Linked DNA regions of Oryzias latipes. The protein of the gene in region 2 interacts with the protein of the main gene of each other region in a pairwise test. Links are inferred from orthologs where the notes say so. Each region holds a gene or a part of one and is shown on either strand. Other genes may lie near its edges.

Region 1 (5,149 bases), on a different chromosome or scaffold from region 2:
GTTAATCAGAAATGCATTGTATTTTCTCGTTTACCCTCAACAATTACTACTTATTCTAGAGACCGTAAATAATGAATTTGCATGCTTGTTGTTAAATGTTTGCAGGATCCCAGCTGAATGCACAGTTAGAAGGCTGGCTGTCCCAAGCGCAGTCGACCATCAGACCCGCCAGAGCCATCATAGCGCCGTAAGAGCATCATAAAACGCTCTCGACTTCCTTCTATGTTTTCATTCTATACTGACACGTGTTTGTCTGCAGTCATGCTGGCTACACCTACTGTGGTGCTTGTGCAGCACATGCCTACAAGCAGGTTGATCCCTCTATTACGTAAGTGGCGTAGCTTTGTGCACCAATTCTTCATCTTTCCGTGTTTTTGCAGACTCCATTGCATTCGTCCTCCACGGAGCATGTGCTCATGTAGACTGCAGCGAGGGTGGAGGGGCTTTTTTGTCTGAAATGAGTGAGATTGATTGCTGGTTCTTTCAGTCGTAGGGTGTTCATCCTGGGACCTTCACACCATGTGCCGCTCTCCCGCTGTGCCCTGTCACCTGCAGACATCTATAGAACTCCTCTGTATGACCTGAGGATCGACCAGAAGGGTATTTACTCCTCTATGACTCCATTTTTGTAGCATTTTAGTGAGAAAAGAATCCACAATTCGTATGGTATTCCATCATTTTTAATGGTATTCATTTTCTATAACAAAATGTGTTTGTGACTTTCCTGAATAAACTTGTTTTTCTTTTTTCTCTGGTATTAATTATCACAGTTTCTAAGTTAAATAAGTAAACATTAAGAATGATTTACTGACTGCTTTGTTTTCTCTCTTAGTTTATGCGGACCTCTGGAAAACTGGACTGTTTGAAAGAATAAGTATGCAGATCGACGAAGATGAGCACAGTATTGAAATGCATTTGCCTTACACTGCTAAAGCCATGGAGAGGTAATGTCCACCCAGAAAACAAATAAAAACCCTTTTTTTATTTGAAATAAAGGAATATTGATCATGATTTATATCTGATACAATATGAGATAAAGCTGAAACTCTAAAATAGAATAATCACAATTTTTAAAAACTTCATTAAAACATCCCTGTGTAGTAAAATATAACAAACATTAATGATAATATATCACAACTTAATGTAAATACAGCCATTTTGTTTACAACAGGCCAATATTTTTGATCAAATGAATTATTTTTATCTTTTTTTGTTGACCTTTTTCAGATGAATACAAACAGAGTGCCCTGTTTTTTTTTATTTGCGTTTTTTTTTTCTTCTTTCTTTCTCTTTCGGCTTTTCCCATCAGGGGTCGCCACAGCGAATCATCGTTTTCCACCTCACTCTATCATGAACATCTTCTACCCTAACGTTAGCCAACTTCATGTCCTCTGTTAAGACATCCATATATCTCCTCTTTGGCCGTCCTCTCGCCCTCCGGCCAGGCAGCTCCATCTCCAACATCCTTCTACCAATATATCCACTATCCCTCCTCTGAACATGTCCAAACCATCTCAGTCTGGCTTCTCTGACTTTGTCGCTAACACAGGCAACATGAGCCGTCCCTCTGATGTACTCGTTCCTTATCCTGTCTAACCTGGTCACTCCTAAGGAGAACCTCAACATCTTCATCTCTGCTACCTCCATCTCAGCCTCTTGTCTCTGTCTCACTGCTACCGTCTCTAACCCATAGCGTTTTTTTTTTCTTAATCTACCTTATATCTTCTCTTCTGAACACATTTTCTCTGTCTTTTTAACTTTACAATAACATTTTCACTCATTTCTCTCATCTTTAAAGTCACAAAGTTCAAACTTTCAATGAAAAGTAATTTTTTTGTTTTATAGATTTAAAACAAAGATCTGATCGCGATAGAGAATGTTTTAAACTCTGGTTAACTGAAAACCGTCTGTACAGGAGAAACGGCTCAGAGGAGATCGACACAATTTACAGCCAATCAGGCTGCAGAACACAGCGAGGCGTAAAAGAGAAAAATAAATAGTAAAATTTTTGCCACCACATTACGAACAAAAATCGCACTTTTGAAATCAAAGCGTCCTCAATTGCAAACAAAATGCTCAGTTTTAGAAACAGAACTTTCAATGTTGCAAATAGAAATACTAAATGTTTGCTTTCAAAATACATTCTTGCGACATAAAAGTTTTCTGATGTCTTGTCACTCGTCTCACTTTTTCTCCATCGTTGATTTTGTTTTTGATACGTTTCAGTTTGACAAAAAAAGAAACATTAAAAGTGAAAAATGCCATTTATTCTGCTGAATACATTAAGTCTACTTTGGTGAGCCATCATTCCTTTCTTTACTTACTACTGCTGCTAATCGAATCTAAAACACTTTTGTGCAGCATAAGATAACATGTGCTGTAAATGTTTTACTTTTTAATTTTTATAACAAACAGATCTTAAGGAAAATCCAACTTCTTAGCAATATTTTGCTCAGGGGGATTTCTCCATCACACCGGCCTGTTTAGCGTCATGTCAGCAGATAAACTTTGAAGTTTTTTACGGTTTCAGGAGATTTTCAACCATAAATTCATACCACATAAAATCTAATCAATACTAAAAGAAAGTATGAATTATTTTAAAAATAATTCAAAATTTTTCTGCAAAAAGATGCCGAATTTAAGATATTTGGTTCAGCTTCTGAGACACCACGATAGATCAATGGAGCGATTTGATTGGATGGAATCTAGACAAATCAGCATGAACCCTCTTGTTTGTGATTGGCTGTTTGGTGGCAGAATTGTCACAGATATCAAAGATGGGGGGGCAAGCGAGATGAGCGACAATGCATCAGAAAACTTTAGTGTCGCAAAAACACATTTTGGAAACAATATTTGAAAGTTTTGTTTTTAGAAAACTTAATATTTTGTTTTCAGTTTAGGAAATTTCTATCTAAAAACTATGTTTTTTTGTTGGCAATGTGGTGGCAGAAATATCACTTGATAAACGGGAAAAGTGGGCGGCGGGAGCATGTGTTGATGCTGGAGTCTGCACGCTATTCCACTGAACATAAACACATCGATCGGCACTGAGATTGTTTTCTACTGGGGAGTGAAACCTCAGCATAAAAGGTGATGTGATGTTGCAGCCACAAAGACGAGTTCAGCATCGTTCCTGTGCTCGTGGGCGCTCTCAGCGAGTCCAAAGAACAGGAGTACGGGAAGCTGCTCAGCAAGTACCTGGCAGACCCCACCAACCTCTTCATCATCTCATCGGACTTCTGCCACTGGGGTACAGACGTTCAGCGTTGGGAGGGAAAGCTGTGTTTGTGATCATGACGCCTGAGCTTGGGCTTGTGCTGCCGTGTTTCTTTGAAGGTCAGCGGTTCCGCTACACGTACTACGATGAATCTCAAGGGGAGATCTACAGGTCCATCGAGAACCTGGATAAGATGGTAAATCCACCAAGACGCCGCCTCACTTTGGATTTACACACACATGGCTGTAGAGGTTAAAAGGACGGTGGTCTTTTTCTGCTACAGACAGCGTTTGGACCAGCACACGTGTAGCGTGATCGGTTTTATTGTCATTTGGATTTATGTTTTATTTTCAATCAACTTTATTTTTATACCAATATTCATGTCTCAAATGCTCCAATAAAATGTATTCAAACAACAAACAGAACAGAAAAAATAAGAATGAAAAGTGATGTATGGAAATGCTGAGACACATATTTAATATGATTTAAGTCAAAACAAAACTATTTTTTATAATTTAGCATGAAAATATATCCCACCGTTAAAATAACATTTGAAATAAACTGTAAGAGTATTTAAAATAAGTCTGTTGTAAACAATCACATGTTCAAATAATAAATAATTATTTTATTCATGAGAATAGACCCCAAAGATTGTTGATAATGATAATAATAATAAAAGGATTCTGTGCTTTTATTTCATAAAACATACTCCATCTTCTTTTTCAACAATACCGATAAAAACATTAAAAAATGGATATTAAAAGTAAGGGTTGGAAGTCTGTTATATAAGGAAAACTTCATAAAGTAATTTTCTTTAATTGCGCCATAATGCCAGGATTTAAAATAAAAGGATCTCAAAATGAGGCTTTTTACAGCAATTATCAGGTTAAAAATAATTCCAATAGAAAATAAATTAGTTTAATCGATTACAGGTGACGATTCATTAACGGCCTGGCAGCACTAATTATGACTGAACTGTGGAAAAATAGGTTTAACAGTTAGCAATGTTCTTTTCTTTAAATCTTTTCAGAAATTTCAAATGAAAGCGACGGAGCTTTGATCACAAAGAACAGTTGTGTTCAACTTAGGAGTTTAGTTTACCGCACTAAAGATCACGCGAAAAGTTATTCTGTGCCAGTTACAGCGAATTGAGCTCATTTATTGCTATGATCAATATGGGTTCCATTGTTCTTATTGTTGAGTTTCTTCTCTGCTTTTATTGTTTAGGGGATGAGCATTATAGAGCAGTTGGATCCCATGTCTTTCACCAACTACCTAAAGAAGTACCGGAACACCATCTGCGGGCGTCACCCCATCGGAGTCCTGCTAAACGTAAGTGGCAGGAAGGCGGAGTTTCTAAAGTCGCGACAAATCTCACCCCAACCCGCTCTAGTGTGAACAGGAGGAGGACTGGAATTCTGTGTCTCAATTAAAAACAAACCTGTTCATCGCACGGCTACGGTGGCCCTGAAGCTCAAATCACAAAAGCAAATCCCTCACACTAAAGATCAGAGTGACAATTAAAAAAAAAAAAGAAATAAACAAAATTACGTTTTAGAAATGAAAACAAAAATTCTCAAACTTTTCAGGAAACAAAAGTGATCTCCAGAAATCCAAACATGGTGAAAATAAAACAGAATAAGAAAGCGGAAAAAGGAGGTATTATGGGAAATCGCTGGTTGGACGATGAGTTTTGAGGAAGACTAGGATATTGTTCTCTTGTGAAGTTGTCTAATGGCCCAGGTCTCCCTTAAAAAAGAGATCTTGTGGGATTTCCTGATGAAATAAAGGTTAAATAAAAGAATAAAATATGTCAAACTTCTTGTTGAAAGGTGAAAAAAACGCCATCATCTAATCAGCGACGTGCCACAGTGCCCACCCTTTCCAGTCTCTGATTTTGTCTCGTTTCGATTTTTGGAAAATCCTTTTATT
Region 2 (5,945 bases):
CACACTGTACAGCTCACTTGTGTAACATTTTCTGCTTGCTTGTGTCATTAGGACGACAAACGGTTTTCAATCATGTCAGAGATTGTGAAGCATCAAATCCACCGTTAACGTTTCTTCTCTATCCTTGACGGCAGATCTGCTGCTTTTATGTTTGGTTTCTTGACGTGTCGCGCTTGCTGCCTAAAATCTCCTGTCTGCCCAAAGGACCAATTTTATAGAAGTTCAAACCCGTCAATCTATCTGTACATATATCTAAATCTCTATGTAGAGACATATCGTCAAACTGCTAAACTTTTAGTTCTGCAATTAAACTTGAAGCAATTATAGATAAAGTTAACTCTCAGATTACTTATCAATCCTAATCCACAACAAGAGAGGCTCTAATTCAGTCCGTCGGTTTCTGCAGGAATTCTCCCTTTTTTCCTGGCGATTTCTACACGGATGAGCAGTACGTGCAGAAAATAGTGATCCACCCCATCGGACTGTAGGCTGCACTGACGAGAGGCGTACGTTAGAAAACGATCTGATTATAATATAAGGAGCAGGTATACCTAAAACATTGAAAGTATTATATCCTTTCTGATGGCTAAAATAATTTCAAAATAAAGTACATGTAAAGATGCTCTCATTTAAAAAAAAAAAAGCCTTTAATTTTCTGTTCTGCTTTTGTTCATTTCAAATCTAATTTAGTGTTAACTTTGTTTACTAAACATACAACCAAGTTAGTCTTAATAGTTAGTTTTTAGATGAAACTGGAATTTCAAGTTTTAATCTGAGAAATCAAGATGTACATCCAAGAATGTGTTTGCAGAGTTTGCTGGATTTTGCTGGAAGATGAAACAGTTGGAGGCAGATAAATGCGTTTGTGACCATCTGTGGTGCTCGGTTCCCACTTCTTCTGGGAGTTATGCAACCACCACTGGTGTTTGAGGAACTGTGGAGGAATGAACGCTGCAGACAAAACTGCGGTCCCCACCACGATGCGTTTGAGGTCTTTTCGTTGGTTGGAAGGGTCTGTTTTGGAAATATTTGTGAAAATGCGTTTTCCTCAGAAAGTATGCATAAATATTCTTTTCTTTTTTTTATCCGCCTGGTGGAACGTACGCAGCATGCGGGGAATGAACAAAGCAAAGCAACAGGAGAAGCTGAAAGAGAATTTCTGCATGAAGGACCATCTGAAGCTTTTCAAAGCACAGATGCTTTTGTTGTCTGAGCCAAAGATGAGACTTTTTTTTTTTCATATATCAAAAAACGAGAAGAAGAAAAAGGAAACCTGTCAAACCTTAGAGGCAGTTTCAGCTGTTGATTTACAGAGGATTAGACCTGCTTTTTTTTACTTTTCCGTTCTCTTCACCTTGATTTTTAATCATTTTTCTAAGAGTAAACAGTGGAGCTGATCCAAACCAGGGGGGCCATTAAAGGGAGGAGGGAGAGATGCTGTGTGGAGGCCATCGCCATGGCAGCAGCTGAATTAATGAGAGTTTCAGGGCGGGGTTAAGTGAATCACAGTGCATTATGTCTTCTTGCGTGCCATGATGAGATGACAAGCAGCACAGGGAGCTGAATAAGGAAGTGTTTATAAGCTGGGGTTGCGGGGGAACTAATGTCCTGAACTCCATGCAGGAAGGCGACCATCATGCTTTCTGTGGGAGGGATGCTTTTCTTACCTTCAGCCGCTCAGAAACGCCTTCAATGATGCTGATGGAGAACTCTGCAATTTTAGGAGACCGCAGCTTCCCCTTCTTGCTCTCAGCATCATAGTCTGCCTTTGTCTTCACCACCACCTGGGTGAAAATGAGCAACCGGGATTAGCAGCTTGCAGTGTTGGCCGTTATTCTCCTATTTATTGTCATGATTTACACATAAAAGGGATGATTGTTGTCGGTTATAATGCCGAGCCTGCCTTGTCAGGTGGAGGGAACTGCAGCTGACTGGCATCCAGCGGTGTGATTAGAGGAATGGTGTCAAATCCGTCCTCCGAGACCACCTTCACGTTGTTTTTCTCGGTGAAATTATTCCCCAGTTTGACCATTTTCCCTGCAAGGAAGGTTTCATCCATCATCACGTTTTTACGCATACCTACCAAAGCATCGCTGGCGCGCAGTTCTGCTTTTGTTCACCCGATAAACATCGGAAATGAAGCGCAAAAAAAGACGCGCAGCGCGCGGCCTGGAAACGCGCAAAGTTTCTACGTTTGCTTTTTTTTTTTCCCCATTACCGCAAACGAGCAGGACGGTGTGGATGAAAATGACTTACCAGCTCGGCCGAGTCTCGGTTTAAACAGCTTTCCTCCTCACGTTGGTGAGCGCGCGGGGTTTGTGTAACGCAGCCGATATGCGGGGAAGCTGCTGCACAATATGGCCAGCCGGCTTTGTGCGTCGCGCTGTCCCCCAAACTGGATGCTGCTGCTGGCGTCTGGCTGCACTGCAAGTGATGTAACGTCCTCACCACATCCCTACATTCGTGCGCGAGCAGGCACGCGCGCGCGCCGCTGGGGTCCTGCAGCCTGCGTGGGGAGCAGCAATCACTGCAAAAGCTCATTAAGACTCATGAGAAGGAGTTTGACTCTTGTAGGTAAATGAGCAACATGATTATTTGATAAACAGTGGAAGAAAAAAAGTATTTGACTCCTTTCTGATTTTGTAGGTTTGGCCACTAAAAAAAGAAATGGCTATATATTGGGAACATATCGAGAGGAAATCTGGTCCAGTTTTCTTTACAAATGACTTCTAAATCCTTTAGATGTGGTGGCTGTTGCTTGGTAACTCTGAGCTTCAGCTCCCTCCATAGGTTTTCTACAGGATTGAGGTCCAGAGACTGGCTGGGCCGCCCCATGACCTTGATCTGCTTCTTCTTCAGCCATTCATTGGTTCCATTGGACCGTACCACGACCAATTTGAAGCCTCCCTGTGGAGGGAAGGAGGTCGTCACTAAGGATTTGACGGTACATGGCTCCTCCCATTTGCCCATCCACATGGCGAAGTAGCACTGCAGGAAAACATCACCAAACCATCATGTTTCCACCTCCATGCTTGACAGTGGGGACGGTTTTCTTGGGTCATAGGCAGCATTTCTCTTCCTCCAAACACAACGGGTTGAGTTGATTCCAAAGACCTCCATGTTGGGCTCCTCTGACTACCTTCTCCCAATCACCCTCTAAGTCATGAAGGTGTTCATTGATAAACTTGGCACATTTCTTAAGCAGACTTTGTGTAAAGCCTTACCTCTCTTCAGGTGACAGGTTGGTTAGGAGAGTCTGTGTGAACCACAACTCTTGTAGGGGATCAAAACGCATTTCCCTCAATGAAAAGAAAATCAATGTATGTAAATTCTTTTACGTGGAGTTTTAAATTTTCTTTGTTTCCCTGCTCAAATGGACCTACCATCCATTACGATGACAGACGGTCCATTTCTTTTTGGGTGGGCAAACCTACAAAGTCAACAAGGGATCAAAGACTCATTGCATTCCTCTGTACGTTTATCTTCATATTTGACATTTCTCATATAGAAGCTGCACAGTTTTGTGGTGGGAAACAGTTTCTCCTCTCAGTGACGAGGTTCTGGTTCTGTGTGAAGCCTGCATGTGCATCCATCCAAGTTCATGCTTTGTCGGTGACCAGCAACCTGTTCAGTGTGCAGCCCACCTTCCCCCGACCTTTGTGACCTAGAAGATGAATGGATTACAAAACAAGGAAATCCTTTCTGTCTCCATCCTGTACTCTGCTTTATGGTTTTATAAAAGCTGAATGTTCATAATGTTCTTTTAATGGATAAAAAGAGGCCAGAAAATCTCTGTTGATGCGACTTTGAAGAAATTAAACACGCCGTGTCCTTTGATTTGACAAATTCTTCTTTTTTTCTGGTAGTTTTCCACAACAGAAGAAACAAAAAGAGGTCATTTTTATTTTTATTTTTCCCTTTGTTGTCATCTTAATTCAACAGTACCTAAAGAGCCGCCTTGGCGTTCTGTGGATGCTCGTCCTACAGGAACAGAGACTCTCTGGTTTTCCAGGAATTGTTGAACCGAAATGTGCCGCTGCATAAAATCCAAACACTTGTTGCCAGGATATGGGGTGGGGGGGTTGCATAATGAAACAACAAATCAGTCTAGAATACGTTTTAAGAAAAGGAGAAGTAACGAATGAAAAGAGATGTGATCCATCATTAAAAAAAAAACAGGATTTTTATGGATTTTCCACTATCCTCTCATCACAATTAACATTATCTTTCATTTATGATTCATTTCTAATCAATAAATGAATTAATATCCCTCTAATAAAGGGTTAGACGCATATCCTGAAGATCCAGCGAAACATCTGCTCTAAGAAAACACAAAAAATGTTTAGACCCAAAAGGGAATCATTGAGGACAAAGGAAGAAGGAAGGTGGCTTTACCGTTAAAAAATATAAGTAATTTGTATCATAACATGGTGAAATTAAGGAAATTTTCAAACAAGCTTGGCTCTCAAATTTTTTTTTAACTTAAATTTTGACTTGTTTTTTTAAACAAGATATAACACAAATGCACATAAAATAAAATAAATCAGTCTTACAAAAAGAGAAGAGTGAAAAAATAAGTAAATGAAAAGAAAAAAGCTTTGCTCTCAAATTTTAAGATATTTTATTTTCTACTTTAGTTTATAAATTATGATGGCATATTTAAATAAAAAGTTACATTTGATACATTAATTTCTAATTTCTTTTAGCATAAACTCCAGTTATTTTGACGTGAAACTATACTTATAACCGTCGGCTTTTCACCAATCCACAAAAATCTTCTGATTTTATTCTAGTGAAGAACAAAAAATCTGTTTGAGTAAAAGTAGTTGTAGAGTTAGAGAAGTTCATTCTTCTCTAAGTGTTCTTGTCCATCGCCTGTCCGTCCTGCTTTTTGTTTGTTTTTTAGGAGTTTTTTCCTTACCGAGAAGGAGGGTCTAACAGTTTAGCTTACGTTGTTTAATTTAGCAATCAGCTATTGTATTTTTTAACTGATTTATGTTATTGTATAACTAGTCAAGCCCATTGAGACCAATGTAATGTAATATTAGGATTCAAAAATGACACTAAATTGGGTTTTCTGTTCTATCATGCAGTTTGTATCTTAAACCGAAAAAAGGAAATACAAAATGTAAATAAAAATACAAAAAAAAGATCTGTGACATATTAAAAAAAATAAAAATGTTTTGCTTTTTGTCTTGAAGATGTTGCTCAATAAATGGTTGTTAATCTAATGGCAACATATGATTTTGTCTTTCATTGGAGGATGTTAAACCAAACATGTCCTGGCATCTTTATGGTGACATCTGCTGGTTTCAGTGTAAAGCTTTAAATGACTTGCATAGATAAAGCTACAGGGAAATCTCCTTTCATCTGTGCCTTTGAGAACATGGAAGCAGTTTAGCCTGGGGGAAAAAACGGAAGCTCATTCCTGATCCACAGCCTGGACGGGCGGCTCTGATCAGAATAATGATAATTAAATGATCATTTCCACCAACCCTTTATGTTTGTGTTTTTATCACATTTACTTTTTGGGTAAATCCATTTTCTAATTTTAAAGACAATTTTTACAAGAGCAAATATTTACATTATTTGTATTCTACATTTTTATTTTAAATTTCCAATTTTTTTGGTGTCTAGCTTAAAAATGAGGTATATCTAAAAAAAAAAAAAAGATCATTTTTAAAGTTAGAAAAGATTGTAAAGTTATTTTTGATAACATTTGTAAATTTTATTGCTCAATGGTGACATAAATATTTAATAAAGTCTGTTTTTTTGTCTGCAGAGGCTCTGGGACCGCTGTGCCTTTAACAGCCCCTCTGTTCACGGATCCCTGCCCAGAAAGTTTATTTCCCACTTCCCATTCAGCCACATGGACCGGCGCCGTCACGCAGAGAGTGCAGACTCTTCCCTTCAGCAGCGGCGGCAGCGGCAGCGGCAGCAGCAGC
Region 3 (5,785 bases), on a different chromosome or scaffold from region 2:
TTGGCTAAAAACTACATAATCATGATTAAAAACCACTGGAAAAACTTTTAAAACAGATCAAAAGATGATTGGAGTGGGTCTTTAAATAAAAAGGTAAAAAACAAGTACAAGTAAGAACAACATGCATTTTCTACTTACCTTGGAAATGGAGAAAAGGAGACCACGTCCCACTGATCTTCCTTCACCAAATATCTCTGAATTCCTGCATACACCTCCCCATTTTCATCCAGGCCACACGCTACATAGATGCACAACCCCACAGCTACAGTGGCTGCCCGCTCCACTGCCCTGACCATAGGGCTCAACCCCTGCCAGCCATCTTCTGATCCAAAAACCAACCCCTCAACATCACCCACGAGGCCTTCATCCATGCAGCCTCCCAGGACATACAGAGAGGAGTCCAGCCCCATGGAGCAGTGGCTGTGTCTGGATTTCTGCAGGGCCGGCCCATCCACCCAGCGCTGATTTGAACATTCGTATATCTTCACCCAGTCCACACTGAACCACAGCACATCTCTGAAGTGGCCTCCAGTCACAACCACGTTGTTTCCTAAATGGAAAATACACCTTAAATTTACATTTATTTTATACATTTATAATGTAATATAATTTATACATTTATTTCACATTTGAGATTTCAAGAAAAGCATTCTCTTTAATCTTAATTGGATATTACCTACTGCAGCTACTGAGTACTGAGTTAGATTCTTCTGCTGCAAAGGTGCACAGCACTGCCATCTACCGCTCAGAGGGTGGAACTGATACAGTGCCTGCTGTTCCTGATCATGAGGCCCTCCCAGGACATAGAGAGTCTCTGTAGCTTTGGTCCGCCTCAAAGACCTGCCTACTGACCAAGAGGCTGGGAAGTGATCATTCAGCTTGCTGATGAGCCTTGCTCGAGGGTCAGAACCTTTCATTCTGGTCAGAAGTTGGGTAATAAATGCTAAGGAGAGAGACTCTGGTCTCACCAGCTCTATTAGCTCTAAAAAATGTTCTTCTCGTTTAGGATCAAACGAAACCCAGCGCAGGGTGGCTTCAAGCGCCACATCGTCTTTGTGGAGAGCCAGATCATCACTGGCAAGTAGATCAGCAATACTTTCCTTGGAAAGGGACAGAAAATCCTCTTCAGCTGAGACCGCAGGGAAGTGTGTGAGCACAACCTGCCGGGCTGCAGAATAAAGCTGAGAGCAGCCCAGTTGCCATGCATAGGCCATCATTCCTAAACAATTCGTGAGGTGTAGCTCGCGCTCCAAGAACTTGCAACACAGCAGTCTGGCTTTTTCTAGTTGTAGATAGTTTGCAGTCTCAAGAATCCCAAGAACATTTTCATGGTCCAAAGTCAGACGGCGAGTCTTGCTGTACTCTATCAAAACTTTGAAAGACTGTCGACCCACACCTTTGATCTCAACAAGCTTTTTGCGGCTTTCCACACCACAGCCAAAGAACAGAGCTCTGAAGTATGGACTCTGAAGGGCCAGGTGCTCCCGACAGACGTAAAAGTTCTCCTCCTCTACCCGTAGGACAGCATCTGGAATAAAATCCGGCCCAGGGTCTTCCACATGAAAAGCATATCCATCTTCGTCCATTGTGTTATCTAACTCATGGAAAAGATTGATTGAAGCTCTGAAACTTCACTTCAGTCACTGTAAAGAGTAAAACAAGTCTACTGCTTTGTCCTGTTTCTGGATCACAACTACGGTAGGTTCCCAACACACCAGCTGGTGTGTACTTTGTTTATTAATAGACGCCCCTGCCCGGAGAATGCAGTTAAGAAAGAGGTCAACTTTGAAAAGTAAAAGTTTTTTTAAAAATTACTATTAAAATACAATTATTTAGTAAAACTAAAGCTAAGAACATTTTTTTATTTTATTTTTTGAGTGCAAATAACTTCAGATGACGTCAGATGCGAGTTTACGGCGATGTGATTGGTGCTATTAAATTGTATCTGGGGTCAAAGTTTAACTTCCGGGTCACACTTCAAACATGGCGGTGAGTGCGAAATAATTTCGTTTAATTTTCTCTCTTATTGTTCACCGAACATTTTCTATTTGGTGTTAGTCAGTAATAGAATACTTGAGGAAATGAGAATAACATTTCTGAAGTAACGGCCGTTTTATTTGTGAAATTGTTACTGCCTTAGTCAGTGATGCTAAGCTAATGCTAGGCTAAGGGTCTGCGCCTTAAACTGTGCATTAATCTTGGAAACTGACATTTCTTTACAGGATAAAGAAAAGAAAAAGAAGGAGAGCATCTTTGACTTGTCCAAATACATCGACAAGCCAATTCGTGTGAAGTTTCAAGGAGGACGGGAGGGTAGGTGGCTTGTCGAAAGATTGTAACTTGTGGTGACCAGAATATTCACAGTGATGTCAGAATATAATTATTTACTTTGTTTATTCCCTCTTTAGCCAGCGGAGTTCTAAAAGGGTTCGATCCTCTATTGAACCTGGTGTTGGACGGTACAATTGAGTACATGCGTGGTAAGTGAAAACTCACGTGTACCCACTTTTCTTAATGGAGAACTAATAATTAAGTAGTTAGGAGTTATTTAGTCCATGGTTTACTGATACTGTTATGTGGACTCAGGCTGTGAGGTTCAAACTTTCTAATTCTTTTTCATTTCCAAAAATACTGTAACTCTTCTTTCAGTTAGAATATCAGCTTCACTCTTCAAACTGTTTTTTTAAGTAAATCAATTGTATTGATCTCCATTTAAAAAATGTAATATTTACTCATCAAAGCCGCAAGATTTTCTTTTTTTTTTTTAAACGATTTTCTCGTGCCTTCTCAGACAGGAGAAGCCAATCTGTTCGCCTTTATAATATTTACAATTTTTTGTATTTAAAGTTCTATTTTTCTTCAATTTATGAAAGTGACTATTCCCACATAATTTTCTAAATACGTAGAGCCGGTGCAGAACTTCTTTCTTGGCCTCACAGACCTGGAGGAATGGTTAGGGTTGGGTAAAACCACTAATGACTCTGATAAATGCATCTTTGCTGAACTTAATACGTGAATTTCCATCTGTTCTTGTGCAGTTTTTACTCGTAAATAAGTGTGAAAAACATCAGCGTTAATTTAATTCATCAGTTCTACAAAAGTGTGTATTTCTTAAAAACTAAAGCTTTAATAAAAATTGAAAAAAGTTAAATTGGAAATTAAAATGAGACTGAACTTTTTCAATAAACATTGATTTATTGTGCTGTAGTCTAAGACAGGTATTTTAGGACTTAATGTTTTGTTTTTAATCAAACTTTGAACTGCGTTTTCTAATCACAATTCCCCATCTTGAAAAAATGTCCTGTTTGTCATCATGAATGCATCATGTCTGCATCATGTCTCTAAAGATTCATAAAGAAGGTTATTCATATTTTTCAGAAAAACCATCAACAAGATGGACTTTTGTTTTCCAAATACATAACATGACCTCATTATTTCTTACTATGATGAGCATTCATGATGAAGACACATTAAAGTCGAGAGAAAATTAACACTAGCCCACTCTCTAATGCCGGATTAACAATGATTAATAAAGTAAACACATTTTAAACGTATATATAATTTGGCTGCATTAAAATGTCACAAAGAGCAGTTGGAGCTACTTTGATCGCCATGGCGAAAAACTGTTTTTTGTAAGAATGTTTTTTCTTCTAATTCTCCTTTCTAAATATTGTAACTTTTCTTTCAGTAAGAATTTCACCTTCACTCTTCAAACTAAGTAAATTAATTGTATTGATCTCCAGTTAAAAACTATAATAATAATTCATCAAACTCGCGTTTAATAACGATTAAAAACTTGGCGTGTTTTTCCGTAAACCAAAGTTTTTATCTCCCATTTGCATAGGTTCTAATAGGTCATTATCATATTCTGAAGCATTTCCTTAACATTAAGAGTCCACTAGCTAGAAAAAAATGTTTTTGTGTTTGAACTAATAACTCTTTGCATTGTAATATTGTTTTCCTCTAGTATCGGATCAACTGTGGACTCTTGTTCTGTTAAGCATTTGTCACATTTACTGACGGCAATAAAAATCTCTTTAAATGTACAAAAACTGCAACATAAAGATGAACATCCTCTGGCATTTACAATCCCTTTGTGTGTCTGTGTGCAGATCCAGACGACCAGCTGAAGCTGACAGAAGACACCAGGCAGCTGGGGCTGGTGGTCTGCAGAGGAACCTCCGTCGTCCTGATCTGTCCTCAGGACGGCATGGAGGCCATACCCAACCCCTTCATACAGCAGCAAGACGGCTAAATCGCCCATGAAGTGTTAGACCTTTGTTTTGTTTCTATTTTTGTTGTTTTTGTTTTAACCAACCTAATGGAAGAAAGCTGGAGAATCAGCAGTAAAAATGACTTTTGAATGCACTTCCCTTTTGTTTGTGGTGTCCAGACGTTGGAACCTCTGTTCTAAAGAGCTCATGTGCTACGGAAGTGCAAACCTTTTCATTTTTATGCAGGAACAACGTGAGCTTTTTACTGTTTGTTTTTGATAAGAAAAATAAAAGGAAAACCTATGCTGGAGTTTGTTTTTATCTTTGGGTGCAGTCGCTCCTTGCAGTGATCTGAGCTGGATCACATCTTCCTTTTCACACCCTGAGTGAGCTTTTGTCAGTTTGAAGGGAGTTTTTGTGTTTGGAATGGGAAAGCTTAGGCACACAGGGAGAAATCTGCGGCATTAACGACTTTAAATTAGAAATGCTGTAAGCAGAGTGGGGATACTGTGCTTAACACCCATGTTTACATTGTTTTTCTAAATGATGGAGAATTTTTGCAATAATAAGTTAAAATAAATCAAATTCTGCAGAAAAAAATGTGGCGTTTAATGTCTAGTTTTCATGGATAAATTGTACCTTAGTTTTATTGTGGGTTTTGGGACCCTGATGGAAGAACTCGGCGGATCCTCCTAGAGCTCTTTAAGATCTTTGGTCAGGTGAGGCACTCACCTGTTTACCTGGAGCTCCTGGACACACTGAGGTGTGGCCAACGGGATCCCAGCGGATGGAGCTGGGAGGAGACGGGGATTCCTGCAGCTCAAGCTGCCGTTTCTGAGTCAACAACACCGAGTGACTGAGTTCGGGAGAGGCTCGGCACGCCCCGGATCAGGTGGAGCATATAGCGGACCCGCCGGCCCGTCTCCTCGCGGAGGTTCGGCTGAGAGGAGCGCGCGCCCTGGTCAAACCTTCAGAGCGATGAGAGGACAAAGAGGTGAGTTTTCCATCAGAAACCCATCCTGTTTGTCACCAGAACGACAACAAAAAAACACTTTCAATTAAGTAAAAATGTTTCTAAAAGTAACTTGGTGATTTTTTTCTTGTGGTTTGTGACCGTCGACCTTTAATGGCCTCCAGGGATTAGTTTACTTTTTCTTACCTGTGCGCCTCAGAGCAGAACCGTCTCTGAGGGTTTCAATCCTGTTCAGATTACTTCAAAATGTTTTATTCCGGATTAAACCCTGGAATAAAAAAAAAGGTCTGGCTCTCCATGTAACGGAATATTTTCCTTCCATATTGCAGTGAGAACATTTAGTCCTTCAAATTACATTTAGGATGGAGCAAAAATAAAAGAACTTCCACTAATTCCTGGGAGTTTTAGATTTCTTAAGCAGCATGTTGGTGTTATCTGATCACTTTGGAGCTCAGAATTTAGCATTAGTTTCAGCCCTTATAGCATCTTTCCTTTGGTGATGCCACCTAACCTTTCTAAGTGCTTAAGGGCACTTCAGCATTAGGATGACAGGGATAACTCAAGTTATCTTTAAAATCTTCCCAGTTTATGAACTCAG
Region 4 (5,692 bases), on a different chromosome or scaffold from region 2:
TTTGATTCTGCTCCTGACTTGCAATTATTTGAATAAAGAATCATTCAGAAATAATATAATTAGCTCTCTTTATAAATGAACTCCATCATCAGAGAAATGTCACAAGAATGTGTAAGAAACACAATTGTCATTGGAGTAGCTTTATTCGTCCTTGTAGACAATTGTTTACTCCTATTCTTTGGTTCCAGAGCATTTCGGTCAGGTCTAAATATTAAAGTATTTTAACATGAGTCTATGAGTCTAATACTGTCATTTGTGACAAAACACAAATTTTAACTATAAATATATTTATAAAACGTGTGTTGAAACTACAGCCAAGTGAGCATCTACTGTCTACTGAAAGGAGACATTCAATTCCAGTAAATGATGCTCCTACAAAATACTCAAAATGTCTTCCTTTGAGAAAACATTCACAGTTGAGTATTGTCTTATTAAAACTTTAATCTGGACTAACTGGACCGGGTTTGGACAGCCAGTCCGTTCCACTCTTGGTGTGAATCGCTGTGAACAACCTGCGTCACGTACTATTCGGCGAAGTATCGGATCAGTCCGAACTGGGTGTACTCCTCTTTGTGTTCCAGCAGCTGGTTTACGGCATCACCCAGGTAGAAAAGGACGTGACTTTCCGCTTGAGAAAGAAAAAACAGACACGTAAATATGAAGAAACCAGAACTGGACCGAACCGAGATCCAGAAGAGAGGGTACCTACAACCAGCACTAACTTACCGAGATACTCCTCTACCGGAACGGCGGCGCTTAGGCGGCTCATTTTGTTTGTTCAGTCGGAAAACCTGCTCAGATCGTCCTAAACAACCCCGAAGAACACGAACCCGAACTCCGTTTATCGAATCTGTTTAGTAAATATCGGCTCCATGGACCTAACATCGTCTTGTCTGACGGGATGGTCCGTGCAAGGGAAAAGGCGGATGTTGTGAGCTACATTAATTCGAGTCCCCCTCGAGCGCGCAACAAAGGTTCCCCCTAACATTACAAATGAAAAATCGCTTTTAGAAGCAATAACTACAGAAATGAACGAATCAATCAACAATATTGATATAATTGAGGGACCAAACAACAACGAAACATAAACTAACACAAATCTGGATAAAAACAGACACAGTCATTAGTCCCACTTCAGACTGCAGAGTCTGTCAGTCACATCATAGTTTACGGTACACACGCCCAGCGAGCTGAAAAGACGATATAAAGCGCTAATATCACCCATGTCACAGGAACCCATTATCAAATAACATGTACTGTGCTCTGAAATAAACGAGAGCTATTGCAAGCCCTATATTGTTATTTGATGTACAAATGTATTCATTTGGATTGCATGTCTGTTCATTCCACAATAAACTACCGGAAATAACGTGTTTTGTCTGAAATATAATCAATCAGACAGATTCTAAAAGTGAGATTTAACACTGACAAGAGTGTTTTGTGGGTTGTTGAGCATGACATGGAATGGAATCAAACAGCAATGAAGAAACTCCACGTAAAAGGGCACATCTGGTCATGGCAACTCTTTCTAAGTTGCTTCATTTAAGCTGACGCAAAATTTTCACTGGATTATTGTTGGTAATGTTGTTCGTGATCATCTCTACAGGTTTGAAGAAAATTGACTGGAGAAAATGAGAGAAATTGACATTATAGTCTAATTTAGGCTCCCTCACACATAGTCATAGTATAACATGTGAACCATCCAAAACACCACTTTTTTAAAAGGTGATGTAAAACTTTCACTGGATAATTGTTGGTAATGATGTTCATGATAATCATAGATGGACCTATGAGACCTAACAGAGAGGGAATTTAAAATTGTTGAATTAGTGTGATTGATTTGAAGGAAAGATTGGAGAATGGTTTTTATAATGTTGGTATATTGTCTCCCATCATGTAAGTTAAACCTATATAAATATGCCTTCACTCATCCAGTTTTTTTAAAATAAAGATTTATTTCAGCATAAGACATATTGTGATTTCCATTTGGGAGTGTTATATGGGTCTGAAATAATGTTTATATGCGGAAAATGTATATGGTAGAGTAAAAAAAATGTGTTTTTTTCAAATTGGTTTGTTTACCCACAGCCAATAGGAAAGACATGTGTGTGAAAGGAACGTATGAAATTATCCAATAGCACACAAACTGACAGAAATCTGGGCGGATTTAATGTTCAAACAGTTTTTATCCATTGGGTGTTATCTTATTTTTGTCCAATCAGCATAGGGCTATCAATATTGGGGGTTGTCCCTATTTCAAATTCAACCAATCAGCTGCATCGTCACTAAACACTCAAGGAAGCCAGTTGGACCAAATGTACACGCGTCAAATGTTAACTAAAAGGTATTGATCCGATGTTTAAAAGTCTTTGTTTGCACTTCGTGCTTTTGTTTGAATGTATAAGTTTCGAGGTTTGATGTACTTAGGGTGGTGTCCCGAGTCTCCGCCTTCCTCTGTCTCTCCACCCTTGTAATTTAAAAAGAATAGTCAAGTTTGATGTGTGTTTGCAACGGAGGGCCGGAAGTTGATTTTAGAACGAAAATTAGTCAATCAAACCTTCGCTTATAATTGGAACTATTTGAGTAATTTTATATTTTTGTATTTTCTACTGTCAAGTGTCTCTAAATACATATCATACCAATTTGAAATTTGCCGAAATGCTTTATGGAAGGAGGCTCAGTAAAGGGGACTCTTTTAATTTGTACAGGAAGTGGAAAGTTGCTAACATCCGCAAACTGCTTGTATAAAACTCGACCGAGCTCTGTGGTGATCTCATTGTCTGTCATTTTACTGAGTTGCCATCATCTTATAGTCCCCAGGAGGCGCACACAGGTATGTCGTTGATTTTAGTTTATTTTGGGGCGCTAACCAAATGTCGAATTACATTTAGGAGCCGTATCGTGGTGCTGTGTGTGTTGTTGGTCTGTCGGCGAGAACTGCGTTGTTAGGCCTGTCTGGTGGCAGGGGTGAACGGTTAGCCCGTAGCCCTGTTCCTAAGCAACTAACGGCGGCTACAGAGAGCGATGGAGCATCGTTAGTTCAGCAGAATTGGACTTTAATCTTACGTTTCTTGGAAAATGCACGTACAGTTTATAAAGACTGTTAAAAATTTAACCCTGGGAGGTTTTATCAATTTTAGGAGGCTACCTTACCTTAGCCAGTAGCCACTGTGTTTGCTGAGGTTAATGGCGCTCGTTTTTGACTGGTAACGATTGCTAGTTTAAGATGCTGACCACTCCTATATATCAGGTTGTTGATTTTTAGGGACACATTCCTTGACTGGCTTTTTGTGGGGGGTTTGACTAGTTGCTGGTTGCACGAAGACGACCATTGTCTTGGTGGAGACTAAAATGCAACGATGATGATATCGCGTTGTTTCTCTGTGAGGTTGGATGGATGCTGGATGGATCTCTGGCGCTCGTGCCTGACATCTGTACTTATCAAAATAAAGGCTGCATAGACTGTCATGATGATATTATGTTCTACAGAACCGTGTGAAGATCTTGACCTTATCTGGTGTTTATATCTAGTTTTTCCCCCTTGCCGTACCACATTATTAGTCACTAATAAACTGAACCATAATAGGAATGCCCTTTTAATTGATGTTGCTGTTTCAGTAATAGTTGGAGATTTGGTAAGTGGAAGTTCCTGCCCAAAAGTATTGGTGTTTCAATTATTGACACAAACATCAGCTCTTTATAGGCTTCTGCTGCTTTTTAACCTGGAAAAATGGCCGGTTCCCTGCAAGTCCCATTGGTGTTGAAGCTTGTCCTGCTTTTGTCCTTTTTCAGCAAATGCAGTGTTTCTGTGACATAATGTATAGATAAAATGAGGAGCAAACAGTAAGTTTTGTGAGGATCATTAACATGAATGGCCTACCCCCCCCCCCATTTAAATTCTAGAATTTTAATTCAATAAAAATTGGGTTGCATGAATGTGATCGAAATTATAATTAACATTTTAAAGTCCCACTTTAACCATCTTTTGATCTATTTTAAAATTGTTCCCAGGGGTCGTTGTTATTATGACTATTCTGTTTTTTTTTTAAAGCCAAAATAAAAAAAAACCTGTCATTTTTTTTTTTTTTTTTGGACGTGGATTCTGCAGAGCAGCAGTTGTTCATTAGAAATTTGCCTCCAAGTTGTGGATTGGACTGTTTGCATGGAGTAAGCTCGCCCCTGCTTCCTGACATCCCTCTGTTGCTCTGCCGGTAGCTCACAGCCCTTTACAACCCCACCCTTACATTACCGGTGCAACAAAAATGGCAAGCATGCACTTTTATTTTGACACGCTAAACATTGTACATCGCACAGGTGTCATCATCCTCTCCCCTTCCCACACTCGTGGTGCTAAAAAGAAGTAAACACAACAGGAAGAATTAACTAAGGGTGAAACAACGTAACTGCCAGATGAAGGGACCCGTAGGCAAAAAGAAACACCCGTGCTCAACCCTATTTTGACCAAAGCAGGCCTAGGGGATTCATTTAATTCCCTGCGATGCAAGCTCCTACAGTAACCCCTGCGGAACTCCGACAGCAGACCAAACGTGCACGTGACCGACACTACAGTACAACAAAATAATATGACTTTCATGAAAACTGGTATTTTCTAAACATAACAATAAACAATAATTATGACATGAGCAACGTCCTCTCTGCCCGCCACACTCCCTGATCGCTATTATTATAACATTTAAACATGCCTTTAAAATAAGTGCATGGAAAATCCAAATCACCACAATGCTGAATGGTTCAAGGGAATCTCCCGTTGGGATAAAACCGTATTTTAAGTAGGACTCCTGATGCTGTCTATTAAATGTATTTTTTGGAAGTCGAAGGCTCCTCTTCTGTCTCCTGGTTGGGCCTTTTCCACTTGGCAAAGAAACTTTCCAAAGACGTTTGTTTTTTATTCATTTTGCCAGTTCCTGGGTTTTATTTTAGCAGTATCCTATCTCCTGACTGAGACGAGCGAATTGGCCTGCGTCAAGAGTAACATAGACGGATGTAACAAAGAATCGGGCAATTTTTCAAAATAAAAAATCTTTCAGATTCCGAAACAAATAAAACGGAAGTCGTGTAAGTTATCTTATTTTTTCTGCGCGGCCCGGTACCAAATAACCCACGGACCGGTACTGGTCCGCGGCCCGGGGGTTGGGGACCACTGCCCTACGTCACTGCTACAAGCTTTTTCCAGCAGTATCTTTTTTTGTCTGCTCCTAATTCAAAACATTTAGAAAGATTAAATTCTCAAACACACCTAAAAACCTTAATTTGTCTTTAAAAATGTCCTTCAATTATGATTAAAAAAAAAGCCTCAAAAACATGTTGAACATGTTGAAAACACCAAAAATATGATTTTTAATGGAGTGTGTCTTTAACCAATCGAGGACATCATTATGTAACATAATGATGCACAATTTTCAGATATTTTTGTATTTTTAATTTTTTTAAACAGTTTTTAATGTTGAATGATGACATTTGGAGAGAAAGGAACCATATTGTCAACATGCACGTTCCCTGGAGTTGAGTCTGTTTTTACAGCTGTATAAATGAAAGCAGGGATGCCCCTGGCATTTTACCAGAGACTCACAAATGCCACAGATAAAACAACCATTCTCATTGGCGTTTAGGCTTCTAAATATTGTTTTGGTCGGGTTTGAGTTTTGGTAGCATAACTCTGTTGCTGTTTTTC

The links.
Region 1: the proteins of transforming acidic coiled-coil-containing protein 1-like (region 2) and memo1 interact in binary tests that used the Homo sapiens proteins (3 or more experiments, as listed by UniProt). The two-hybrid records come from large-scale screens. The link is inferred for Oryzias latipes from reciprocal best matches to the Homo sapiens genes TACC1 and MEMO1.
Region 3: the proteins of transforming acidic coiled-coil-containing protein 1-like (region 2) and lsm7 interact in binary tests that used the Homo sapiens proteins (3 or more experiments, as listed by UniProt). The link is inferred for Oryzias latipes from reciprocal best matches to the Homo sapiens genes TACC1 and LSM7.
Region 4: the proteins of transforming acidic coiled-coil-containing protein 1-like (region 2) and ckap5 interact in binary tests that used the Homo sapiens proteins (3 or more experiments, as listed by UniProt). The link is inferred for Oryzias latipes from reciprocal best matches to the Homo sapiens genes TACC1 and CKAP5.

The regions. Positions count from the first base shown.
Region 1 is NC_019873.2:27,903,349-27,908,497, reverse strand, and holds part of memo1 (protein MEMO1), read left to right. Parts: intron 1-105; coding exon 106-187; intron 188-259; coding exon 260-328; intron 329-487; coding exon 488-600; intron 601-832; coding exon 833-944; intron 945-3,107; coding exon 3,108-3,250; intron 3,251-3,336; coding exon 3,337-3,413; intron 3,414-4,444; coding exon 4,445-4,549; intron 4,550-5,149. UniProt on the Homo sapiens protein: May control cell migration by relaying extracellular chemotactic signals to the microtubule cytoskeleton. Mediator of ERBB2 signaling.
Region 2 is NC_019863.2:30,784,359-30,790,303, forward strand, and holds the start of transforming acidic coiled-coil-containing protein 1-like, read left to right. Parts: upstream 1-2,604; 5' UTR 2,605-2,722; coding exon 2,723-2,944; intron 2,945-5,782; coding exon 5,783-5,945. Other genes in the region: nsg1 (neuronal vesicle trafficking-associated protein 1), read right to left, coding at 1,668-1,784, 1,904-2,032. UniProt on the Homo sapiens protein: Involved in transcription regulation induced by nuclear receptors, including in T3 thyroid hormone and all-trans retinoic acid pathways. Might promote the nuclear localization of the receptors.
Region 3 is NC_019862.2:8,271,574-8,277,358, reverse strand, and holds lsm7 (U6 snRNA-associated Sm-like protein LSm7), read left to right. Parts: upstream 1-1,876; 5' UTR 1,877-1,983; coding exon 1,984-1,989; intron 1,990-2,222; coding exon 2,223-2,313; intron 2,314-2,408; coding exon 2,409-2,480; intron 2,481-4,112; coding exon 4,113-4,255; 3' UTR 4,256-4,524; downstream 4,525-5,785. Other genes in the region: kelch-like protein 24, read right to left, coding at 139-550, 677-1,586. UniProt on the Homo sapiens protein: Plays a role in pre-mRNA splicing as component of the U4/U6-U5 tri-snRNP complex that is involved in spliceosome assembly, and as component of the precatalytic spliceosome (spliceosome B complex).
Region 4 is NC_019864.2:27,048,996-27,054,687, forward strand, and holds the start of ckap5 (cytoskeleton-associated protein 5), read left to right. Parts: upstream 1-2,266; 5' UTR 2,267-2,344; intron 2,345-2,704; exon of another isoform or gene 2,705-2,833; intron 2,834-5,692. Other genes in the region: c6h11orf49 (UPF0705 protein C11orf49 homolog), read right to left, coding at 526-628, 727-769. UniProt on the Homo sapiens protein: Binds to the plus end of microtubules and regulates microtubule dynamics and microtubule organization. Acts as a processive microtubule polymerase. Promotes cytoplasmic microtubule nucleation and elongation. Plays a major role in organizing spindle poles.